Linked DNA regions of Mus musculus. The protein of the gene in region 3 binds, or shares a complex with, the protein of the main gene of each other region. Links are inferred from orthologs where the notes say so. Each region holds a gene or a part of one and is shown on either strand. Other genes may lie near its edges.

What was found.
Region 1: Gtf2f2 (region 3) and Ercc2 share a complex: the UniProt entries of both Homo sapiens proteins name them as parts of the TBP-based Pol II pre-initiation complex. The link is inferred for Mus musculus from reciprocal best matches to the Homo sapiens genes GTF2F2 and ERCC2.
Region 2: Gtf2f2 (region 3) and Polr2g share a complex: the UniProt entries of both Homo sapiens proteins name them as parts of the TBP-based Pol II pre-initiation complex. The link is inferred for Mus musculus from reciprocal best matches to the Homo sapiens genes GTF2F2 and POLR2G.

What each region holds. Positions count from the first base shown.
Region 1 is NC_000073.6:19,380,523-19,384,269, reverse strand, and holds the start of Ercc2 (general transcription and DNA repair factor IIH helicase subunit XPD), read right to left. Parts: upstream 2,254-3,747; 5' UTR 2,216-2,253; coding exon 2,211-2,215; intron 1,992-2,210; coding exon 1,892-1,991; intron 327-1,891; coding exon 249-326; intron 172-248; coding exon 109-171; intron 1-108. UniProt on the Homo sapiens protein: ATP-dependent 5'-3' DNA helicase. Component of the general transcription and DNA repair factor IIH (TFIIH) core complex, not absolutely essential for minimal transcription in vitro.
Region 2 is NC_000085.6:8,796,353-8,800,099, reverse strand, and holds the start of Polr2g (DNA-directed RNA polymerase II subunit RPB7), read left to right. Parts: upstream 1-1,542; 5' UTR 1,543-1,629; coding exon 1,630-1,641; intron 1,642-1,766; coding exon 1,767-1,876; intron 1,877-2,704; coding exon 2,705-2,864; intron 2,865-3,747. UniProt on the Homo sapiens protein: Core component of RNA polymerase II (Pol II), a DNA-dependent RNA polymerase which synthesizes mRNA precursors and many functional non-coding RNAs using the four ribonucleoside triphosphates as substrates.
Region 3 is NC_000080.6:76,007,930-76,011,625, forward strand, and holds the start of Gtf2f2 (general transcription factor IIF subunit 2), read right to left. Parts: upstream 2,937-3,696; 5' UTR 2,817-2,936; coding exon 2,751-2,816; intron 1-2,750. UniProt on the Homo sapiens protein: TFIIF is a general transcription initiation factor that binds to RNA polymerase II and helps to recruit it to the initiation complex in collaboration with TFIIB.

The DNA.
Region 1 (3,747 bases), on a different chromosome or scaffold from region 3:
CACAGGGCAAGCACAAGTCCTTGCCCACCGGGCTACCGAGGGCAGAGATGGGGGACCACCAAGGCCCAGGGGAGGGGGCAGAGCATGGGTCCCATCTGCATTGCCCACCTTCTCAATCTCTGGCACGGTCCGTGAGCAGTAGATAAGTTTGGTCACCTCCAGCGGATAAGCCTGTGGGTGACAGGGACCTCAGCCCCATCCAGCCCCACCCCTCAGCCCCCACTCCAGGCACTCAGAAGGCCACTCACCCGCTGATAGGCCACAATCAGGGCCAATAGGGACACTGTCTTCCCAGTGCCCGAGGGCATCTCCAGGACTCCATGACCCTGAAAATTGGGCACAGAAGTAGTAAGACACAGGCTCTCTGTCATCAACGTACGCTCTGGGGAACTCTCCTTGACATGCCACCACCCGGGAACAGCAAGGCAACACACACAGCAGTGGCATCGCTGTCAAGGCCCCAGGACTGATAGTCTCCGCTCCTCCTCTTCTGCTGGACTTTTAATTGTTAATTCTTATTCCTCACCCGCCTACCCCAAAGGATCTTGCTATGCAGGCCTAGTAGTTACTAAGAATCTCTGGCTGGCTTTGAACTTTTGGCAATCCTGTTGCCTCTACTTTGAGTACTGGGACTGCAGGCTGAACCCTATTTCTGTGGCCCTCTTACTGACACAGCTAATGAGTTTACTGAGCAGCAGACAGTAGGAACCTTTTACCTCTCAGGATCACAGCATTCTTGCTTCTAAGTAGCTCCATAAACCTTACTTGGAACAAGGTTGTGAGGGCTAATACATTGGTGGGCCAGCAATATGGCTTAGCGGGTAAAGGTGCTTGTGGCCAAGCCTGATCACCCGAGTTCAATCCCCAAGACATACACGGAAGGAAAGAACCAACTCTACCCTCACGTGCACACTGTAGCATGTATACACACATTGGAAATAAGTATACCTAAAAGAAAACTTTTTTTAAAAAGTTTGTGTTCAGGGCTGTTGAAATAGCTCAGCAGGTAAAGGCGATTGCTATCAAACCTAACAGCCTGAATTTGATCCCTAGAACCCACATAAAATGATAAGAAATCTGGGTGGTGTTGGCCTATGCCTTTAATCACAGCACTCAGGAGGCAGAGGCAGGTGGATCTTTTGGGACTTTGAGGCCTGCCTGGTCTATGAAACAAGTTCCAGGACAGCAAAAATCACACAGAGAAACCCTGTCTCAGAAAACACAACGAGGGACTGGAGAGATGGCTGAGCAGTTAAGAGCACTGGCTGCTTGCTCTTCCAGAGGTCCTGAGTTCAAATCCCAGCAACCACATGAAGGCTCACAACCATCTGTACAGCTACAGTGTACTCACATACATAAAACAAATAAATCTACAACAAAACAAAACCGAAATAGAAGTGGAAGGAAAAACCCAACTCCACAAAGTTGTCCTCTGACCTCCACATACGGAACCCCTTCTTCCCTCCACTATTGTCACTACCAGGAATACCTCCAGAGTTTTCCTATACATAGCCCTAGCTAGCCCGAAACTCACTATGAAACCCAGACTGTACTTCAAACTCGAGCAATCTGTCCTCAGCCACCCTGTCTCTAGAATTACAGGCATAATTGTAATTACTATCAGTCAGTTTATGCGGTGCCAGGATGGAACCCAGAGTTTCACCCCTGCTAGCTAGGCTAGCACCCTACCAACTGAGCGACATTCCTCGCCTTGTTATTTACAATTGTTGTTAGTACACGGTCTCGCTGTGTAGCCCCGGCTGGCCTCCAAAATCGCAGCGATGCTCCTGCCTGGGTCTTCCGGGTGCTGGGATAGCAAGGCCCGGGCCCCGACCAGGACGTTTGCCTGCCAGAGGCATCAGAATGCAAGGAGGGCAGCCTCGCCACCCACCTTGGCGTCCAGCGTGCGCTTGAGCTCCAGCATGTAGGAGAACTGCTCCGGGTAGATGTAGTCGTACGGGAAGTAGACCAGCAGCCCGTCCACGTTGAGCCTGGCGGCGGTGAGGCGTCGGTGCCCGGTGCTCTCGAGCCGCCTCGGCCTCCGCTCCGCCCGCCCGCCCGCCCTCGTGGCGTCTCGCCGCCAGGGACCCCGAAGCCACCCGGACCGGTCTCCGCAGCCTCTCCACGCCGCGCCCCAGCCCCGGCGACGCCCACCCGCCGCCCCATTGCCCACCGCAGAGCCGCCCGCTCTTTCAGAGACCCCATCTCACTTCATGGCGGCTGATCGCGGCGTCCACACGCCCGCTCCTGAATATTCAACGAGGGGGCGTGACCCAGAGACACACCTTCCTCGGGACGCCATTGGCCGAGTCCTCCCGTCACTCTGCCAATCGGAAAATTGGCGCGTGCGCATGGCGGTGAGAGGGCGGACTTCGGAGAGAAGTGGTGCCCGAGGCATCGCTGAGGATCGCCGAGGACTTCGAGCAGAACACAGAAAGAAGAGAGTCGAGAGAATCGATAGAGTTCATTGCTGCTTCGCTCCTCCAGGTTCTGTTCTGGTTGTCCAAGTCGTGAAAATAGTGTTTAAGAGAGAATAACAGAGAAATTGGAGACCGTCTTGATTTTTTTGTTTTTCGGGTGTTTTTTTTTGTTTTTTTGTTTGTTTTTTCGAGACAAGGTTTCTCTGTGTAGCCCTGGCTGTCCTGGAACTCACTCTGTAGTACAGGCTGGCCTCGAACTCAGAAATCCACCTGCCTCTGCTTCCCACCACTGCCCTGCCTAGCACGTGTTTTTAAGCATTTATTAATATGGGTTGGAAAGATGGCTCAGACGTTAAAGCATAGGTCACAAACAAACAAAACTTCATTAATTAAGGGCCTGGAGGAATCACTCAGTAGTTAAAAGCACTTTCTGATTTTGAAGAGGAGCAGGGTTCCCAGCCGCCCCACTCTCCACTCCCACCCCCCAAATCAGGCAGCTTATGATCGATCACCTTTAGGGCTAGCTCCATGGAATCCAATACCTCTGGCCTGTGGAAGGAAGAGGAAACCTGCAGAATTTGGTTCAGTCCTTTCCTTCCACTATGTGTGGGAATCGAACTCAGGTCAAAAGGCCTGTACCTCATGAGCCATCTCATGAGGTACAGGCCTCAGTAGACAGTCGTACTATGTAACCCAAGCTGGTCCGGAGCTCACTCTATAGCCTGGGTGGCTGGCCCCAGCTTGTGGCTAACCCACCTGAGGGCTGGACAATGCTGTCAGTTATTTCATATCTCTGGATTCTTGCTCAAATATCACCTTTTAGTCCTTCCTCCCTTCATTTCATCCTTTCTTTTCTTTCTTTTTTTTTTTAAGATTTATTTGTTATATATAAGTACATTGTAGCTGTTTTCAGATATACCAGAAGGGGGTATCCAATCTCATTACTGATGGTTGTGAGCCACCATGTGGTTGCTGGGATTTGAATTCAGGACCTTTGGAAGAGCAGTCAGTGCTCTTAATCACTGAGCTCCAGTCCCTTTTCTTTTTGAGAGAGTCTTTCTACTTAGTTCTGACACTGTCCTAGATCTCACACTATAAACAAGGTTGGCCTTGAACTCACAGAGACCTGCCTGCCTCTGCCTCCGGAGTGAGTGCTGAGATTAAAGGTGCATACCATAATGTCTGGCTATTTTCTTTCTTTCTTTCTTTCTTTCTTTCTTTCTTTCTTTCTTTCTTTCCTCTTTTTGGTTTGGTTTTTCAAGACAGGGTTTCTCTGTGTAGTCCTGGCTGTCCTGGCACTCACTTTGTAGACCAGGCTGGCCTCGAA
Region 2 (3,747 bases), on a different chromosome or scaffold from region 3:
ATGTGCTTGCTTTAGCAGTACATCTCTCTCCTGTGTCTGCTTCAACTAAATGTTCCTTCATGAGTCTGCCTTACTCTTTCACCTGTGTCCACTTCAGGAAAACACTCCTTCACGTGTTAGCTCCAGCAAAATACCTTCCAACACAACTGACAAACCTTAAGCTTCCACTTTACCCAGGACTTCAAAAGAAAAGGCAAGAGAATTGTTAAAAGTTCAAGGCAAGCTTCCTCTACAAAACAAATTCCAGGCCGTCCATGGCTACATAATAAAACCCTGTCCCTCAAATAGAAAAGAAAGTAAGCCTAGTGCATGCCTGCAGACATAATCTTTTTGTTTGTTTGCTGTCTTTTTGGGGTTTTTTTGTTTTGTTTTGTTTTTTAAGACAGCCTTGTTTATGTGCCCCTGGCTGTCCTGGAACTCACTCTGTAGACCAGGCTGGCCTCAAACTCAGAAATTCACTTGTCTCTGCCTTCCAAGTGCTGGGATTAAAGGCGTGCGCCATCATGCCCAGCTAAGTGATTTCTTTTTAATTATGTGTACTTAATAATGTATGCTACCTATGTGTGAGTATGAGCCTATGAGTACTGGTACCTTCTGAGGCTACGAGAAGATTTCAGGTCCCCTTAGAGCTGGAGTTGTGAAATGCTAGTGTTAGTAACTGAACTCAGGTCCTCTTTGAGAGCTTTATTTTTATTTACATGTAAAAAAAAAAAAAACCGTTATTCTTATTTTATATGTGTGAGTGTTCTGGCTACAGCTATGTCTGTTCACCACAAGGGTGCTGTGTTCATGGAGGCCAGAGGGCACTGGATCCCCTGGGATTGAAGTATAGATAGAGAGTTGAGTCAGCATGCTTGTGCTGGGAATCAAACCTGGATCCTTTGGAAGAACAATCATATCCCCAGCTGCCTAGCCTTTCTTTTTATTTTACAAGCATGGGTGTTCTGCCTGTATGTGTGTTTGGGTACCACTCACATGCAGTGCTGAAGGAAGCCAGAAGAGGATGTCAGCTCTCCCTGAGCTGGAGTTACAAAGAAGAGTGTGAGCTACCCTGTGGGTGCTGGGAATTAAATCCTGGACCTCTGCAAGAGGAGCAAGTGCTCTTAAGGACTGAGCTATTTCTTCAGCCCCCAAATTAAATAATAATAATTTTTTGGTTTTTTTTAAATATGTGTAAATGTTTTACAGGGTTGTATACACAGCCCAGGTTACCCTGGAACTCACTTTGTAGCTGTGGCTTAGCCTTAAGTTTAGAGATCTGTTTGCCACGGCTGGGTTTAAGGGCATGTGGTAAAAGTCAGACCTAAAATAACTCACATTTTTTGGTTGGTTTTGGTTTTGGTTTTGGTTTTGGTTTTGGTTTTGGTTTTAGTTTTGGCTTTGGTTCTTCGAGGCCGGGTTTTTCTCTGTAATCCCGGCTGTCCTAGAATTTGCTTTAAGTAGGAGGGGAGTATGAACGGTGGTGGGCAGGCCTGAGGGGCGGGGCTTCATGTATCCCCGCCCATGACGTTAAGACTCAATCAGCGCTGCGGAAGCGACCGCAGAGAAGTGGTGGGACTTCTGCAAGTGCTTCCGGAGAGGTCTCTGCGTGGGAAGTTCTGGGCGCTGCGGGCCAAGCTTCTGCAGAAGATGTTTTATCACGTGAGCTGGATGCGGGGTAACTGTGAGGGGCAGTCACAGGAGGATCCTGGAGGCCCGGAAGGGCCGACAGGTCGCCTCCTGTCCTCAATGTGGCTGGCTGAGTCTCCATCTTCCTTTCTCTGCAGATTTCCCTGGAGCACGAGATCCTCCTGCACCCACGATACTTCGGTCCAAACTTGCTCAACACGGTGAAGCAGAAGCTGTTTACCGAGGTGGAGGGGACCTGCACTGGGAAGTGAGTTTCTGCTTCACAGAGAGGTCTGCTGAATGCACGCACAATGGCGCTAGTCTCTAACCTCTTCTTAACTCCTTCTGTCAGGGCTTGTCGCTTACTCTGAGGAACCCTTTCACCCCTCCAGGCACCTGAAGCAGCCAGTTTTTGCCTGTTTTAGACACTCTGAAAAGCTACTAAAGAAAATTTTCTTCCCTTATGTGAGATAAGACCGTTATTATGCAAATGTTTTTGAGTTTTGAGATGGCCTCACTATGTGGACCAAGCTGGGCTCTAATTCAGAGATCTGCCTGCCACTGAGTGCTGACATTAAAGGCTTTCATCACAATTCTCTGACTCGTTTGTGGTTTTTGAAAGACCTGTCTCAGCTTTGACCCTGGCAAGTCCTCCTGCCTTAGCCTACATGGTACTGAGAGAATAGGTGTATGTCAGCATATCTAGGCCTTCTTGGGCATTTACTGTACCATCATGAGAGCATCATTTAATATTTCATGTGCTAAGCTGGTCGGGGGTGGCGCATGCCTTTAATTCCAGCACTTGGGAGGCAGAGGCAGGTGGATTTCTGAGTTCAAGGCCAGCCTGGTCTAAAGAGTGAGTTCCAGGACAGCCAGCGCTACACAGAGAAACTCTGTCTCGAAAAAACATATATATGTGTGTGTGTGTGTGTGTGTGTGTGTATATATATATATATATATTTAGGTGCTAATCTGTGTCCTGTCTCTTCTTGATCAATGAACCATCTGAACAGAGGTTCTTTCACACAGAGACTCTTATTGCTGGTGGCTTTTCAGAGGCTCTTCACATAGCTGTCTTCTTTCATTTTTCATGCAGATATGGCTTTGTAATTGCTGTCACCACCATCGACAATATTGGTGCTGGTGTGATCCAGCCAGGCCGAGGTTTTGTTCTTTATCCAGTGAAATACAAAGCTATTGTTTTCCGGCCCTTTAAAGGTGAAGTGGTGGATGCTGTGGTCACTCAGGTCAACAAGGTAAGAGTATTATTCATAGAAAGGTTATGGGGTATTTCCTAAGGTGAGGGTTCAGTCCCTAGTCCACTTACTAGTTGCCTTAAGTCTTTTGTTGTTGTTAAGATTCATTTTATCTTAGTTTTTTGGTTTTTCTTTTCTGGTTTTAGGGTTTTCTTTTTTCTTTTCTTTTCTTTTCTTTTCTTTTTTTTTTTTTTTTTTTTTTTTTTTTGAGACAGGGTTTCTCTGTGTAGCCCTGGCTCTCCTGGAACTCACTCTGTAGACCAGGCTGGCCTCGAACTCAGAAATCCACCTGCCTCTGCCTCTCAAGTTAAAGGCATGTGCCACCACTACCCAGCAGGTTTTTTGTTTGTTTGTTTGGTTGGTTGGTTGGTTGGTTTGATTTTTTGTTTGTTTGTTTGTTTTTGTTTTTAGAGACAGGGTTTCTCTGTGTAGTCCTGGCTGTCAGTTTTGTACTTTTGTTTTTGAGGCAGGGATTCACTGTGTAGCCCTGGCTGTCCTGGAACTTACCCCATAGACCAAACTAGCCTTAAACTCAGACATCCACTTACCTCTGCCTCCTGAGTGCTGGGATTAAAGACACGAGCCACCACCACCCAGCAATTTATTTTAATTTTAACTATGTGTACTTGTATGTTATCTGGGGTGAGTGCAAGCCCATGAGTGCTGGTACCTTCTGAAGCTTCAAGAGGGTTTCAGGTCCCCTCCTACCTGGAGTTGTGAGACCCTGGATATGGATGCTAGGAATTGAACTCAGGTCCTCTGCAAGCACGGTTATGCACTCTTAATTATTTAGCCATCTCTTCAGTCCCTTAGGTCACTTTTTGGTTCTTCACTTTCCTTAACTGTCTTTCCATCTAACTTAGCTGGGGGTGTCTTCTGAATT
Region 3 (3,696 bases):
CAGAAACAGAAAAACAGAAGTAACCGGAGGTTAAATTCTAAGATGGAAAAATATATTAATTCTCTAATAAATAATCTGCCTCTGTTCTTCACATAAGTAGTTTAGACCTTTCAGCTATCCTGTTATGAGAAGCAAAGAAGAGACTTTAATAAAACACGAAGCATATGTGTTGTGGAGAATAAGTATTCACTGACTGTCAGTTGTCAGCATTAGTTCTCGTAGTAATCTTGGAATAACAATGTGATCACAATGAATTCAGACTGAGACATAGGTGTTGGGGCTGCAAAGGGGAGACAAGGAAGTCTAGCAAGATTATGGGGGGGGTACAGTACTTTGATTACAGTTAAAGTTTTTTTAAAAAAGGAGTAAAAAAGGCTGATTGTATGTTCATGATATTAACTTAGTAGACTACCAAAGTGTGTCAGGTGATAGGCCTGAGGCTGGAAAAGAGGAAGGTTGAGGAGACAATTCTGTCAGACTCCTTGTAGACTTTCTATCCCCTCCACCCACTCATCCCCTCAATCACTCTTCAAAGTACTCTCCCTTGTCTACAGATATGAAAACCGAATCTAAGGCTAGTGATACAACTCAGAAATAAAGCTAGGTGAGACTGTGGACAATGTATCTCAAAATACCATATGGACTTTTTAATGGTTTTGCTATTTAAGTCTGATAAGGGCTGGAAAGATGGTTCAGCTTTAAAGCACTGACTGTTCTTCCAGAGGACCTGGGTTCAATTCCCAGTACCCACATGGCAGCTCATAACCAGCCATACCTGTAATACCAGAGGATCCAATGCCCTCTTCTGGTTTCTGGGTCTTACAACATTCCCCTGACTCAATGTAGACCAGGCTAACTTCTCAAGTACTAAGATTAAAGGTGTGCACACCACAGTCCTGTCTATTTGGTAGCTCTCCTTTATCTAAGATATATATCTGTGTATTTATCTAACATAAATACTCAAGCACAGGTGCTCTAACACACACCTAGGTGGGAGAATTACCATGAGTTTATGGCCAGCCTGGGCTACACAGAGACTTCCAGGCCAGCCTGAACTAAGAAAGGTAGAGAGAGAGAGGGAGAGATGAAGAGAGAGGGAGAGAAGGGAAGGGAAAGGAAAGGAGAGAATAGGTTTTCGTTTTTCCTGTTACTTATAACCCTTTGCTGTATTCTCTGTTTTAGTCAGACTTAGTCACTGTGACCAAATATCTGACAGAAACAATTTAAGATTTATTTTGCACTGGGTATCTCAGTTTCTATCTGTCATGGTGGGAAAAACAAGGAAAAGTGCTGCAGCTCACTCCACAGTGGCCATGATATAGAGGAGATACAGAGAGGGCCAGGGCAGCCCTAAGAACATACAGCCAGAATCTACTTCTTCCAACTAGGCCCCGCCCCACTACCTTTCACTACCTCCCAGAGAAGTCACATTATAAATCCACCAACAGAGTAACTAATCCCTTAATTAGATCATAGCCCTGTGACCTACTTTGCCTCCAGAAACAGCACCAGAAACACCCAGAGGTGTGTTTCATTAATCGCCCGCCGATGAAACTGACAGGACTAACTCCTACCCACTTTAGTTTGTGTCTCTTTGACATACAGCCTTTTCTTTTTCTTTTTGGTTTTTCGAGACAGGGTTTCTCTGTATAGCTCTGGCTGTCCTGGAACTCACTCACCTGCCTCTCCCTCCCGAGTGCTGGAATTAAAGGCGTGTGCCTTTTCAATTTCTTATATTCATCACATATTGGAAAAGTAATATGTGCCAAACACTAATCAAAGTGCAAAGAAAGTGACTTGGGGGTAGGGGCATCAACAATAGATACAGACAGGTACAAAGGAGCACTAGAAACTGTTCAGGGGTTTGAAGAACTTAACATAGTCTGCTGTGCTGGCAAACGACGAGAGCTGTTTCAGAGAAAAGGACAGGAAGAAACACTTTGTCTTGATGAGAACTCAGCCATGGACTTAAAACACTCATTACAAAGATAAACCATTTAAAAAACAAGTTTGGGAAACTTTCATGATCCCATTTAAATATGGTTTTTCAGAATGAGATTCCCCACAGAGCCTCCCACCCCATATAAAAAAAAGTGACCCGAATAGATGGCGACCACTGGGGCAAACGAGGTCTGCCGCATGACCACTTAAAACATTTACTGCTGGTTGGTTTCATGAATCCTAAACTCGCTCTTTAAAAACACGAAGTCAACAACTTCTCTTTGAATTCAGAACTTCTAGGTCTTTCGAAGGCTCCAATTGAATTACCAACCCAGGCAACACTAGCCGTGTAAAGCGACAGGAGTCTACATGGCGAGTTCCAGGCTAGCCAAGTCTACACAGAGAGATTGTTTCAAAACAACAGAGTACACAGGGACCAGCTCCACTTTGTGGTCCAGAAAACTGTACGGAATATCTATTCAAGTAATTTATACACGTTCATAACTAAAGTTAACCTTACCAAAAAGAAAACCGCAAGGACTTTTCCGACCTGGGGTAAATGTACTGCCCACTCGGGGACCACCGGGTCAGGACTCCAGGAAGGCCAGGTCTTGGCGGTAAAGAGAGTTAGTTCCATGGTGGGCGGATGAAATTGAGAGACGGCCTGAAAGACGCCCTGTGTCCCCTAAAGTAACTTCTCCAACCTGCAAACGGACGCAACAGCGACCCGCTTCTCAGAACAGCGGTGGCCCGAGCAAGACGGACCCAGAACTTTCGGAAGCGCCCCGCGGGGCTCGCGTCTCACTCACCTTGACCAGCCACACGCCGGTGTTCTGTTTGGCGCCCGTCAGATCGAGTTCCCCGCGCTCCGCCATGAGCTTGTCGCGTGAGGAGGCGTGCAGTGCGCGCACAAGCAGTGGTCCCGGCGCTGAAAGGCAGAGAGCGACAGTCCAGAGCCGGCCAAGGGAGTAAGTAGACCGCGAAAAGCCGGCGTCGCACACAGCCCGGGAACCAGGAACTTAGATGAGAAGAACACGCCGCCGAATGAAGAACTGCGCCTGCGCACGACTACGTCAGGACAGCGCGCCGAGAGGGACAAACTTCCTGCTCCGGCAATTTCCTAGATGGGCGTGACTCCCGGCAACGTGCAATCTTGGGATTCGAGTGCTGGGAAAGGAAGAGCCTAATCCTGAACCGTGCGTTTACAGCAAAGGTGACAAAGTGGAAAGATTAAGGTTTAGACAGACAAAAGCTGTGTGTATTTATACCCAACCCTAGATAAAGAAGCTAGGCATTTTAAGGACAGACTTGGGGGTAAAAAAAGTCACTTTCTTGGCCCAATTAACATTGGCACAAGTGGGCACTAGAGTACAAGTGAGTATGCTGGACACATGCCTTTTCGAGGCATAAAAATCAATTCACACCGTGCAAGCAGCATACACTCTTTCAGACGCCGAAACCTGAATGCCATCTAATTGAGTTGGTAAGACCCACCATGTAAGAAACAGATCTGATTATCCAACTGCCCTGCTTAAACAGTTTCCGGTTGCAGGATATTGGATCACATTATGAGCCCTGAGATTGTGAACTGGAAGAATCTGTTAATAACTGTGGCTCAGCCTTTGATCCTAGAACTTTCTGTTTACTGTAAACAAGTATAGGTAGCCTGGCTCACCCCTACCTAGCGCGCACATTAATCCAAGAGCTAAATAAAGTCAACCCTAGATCAGGCGGCAGAGCAAGTAGCCAGCTGAC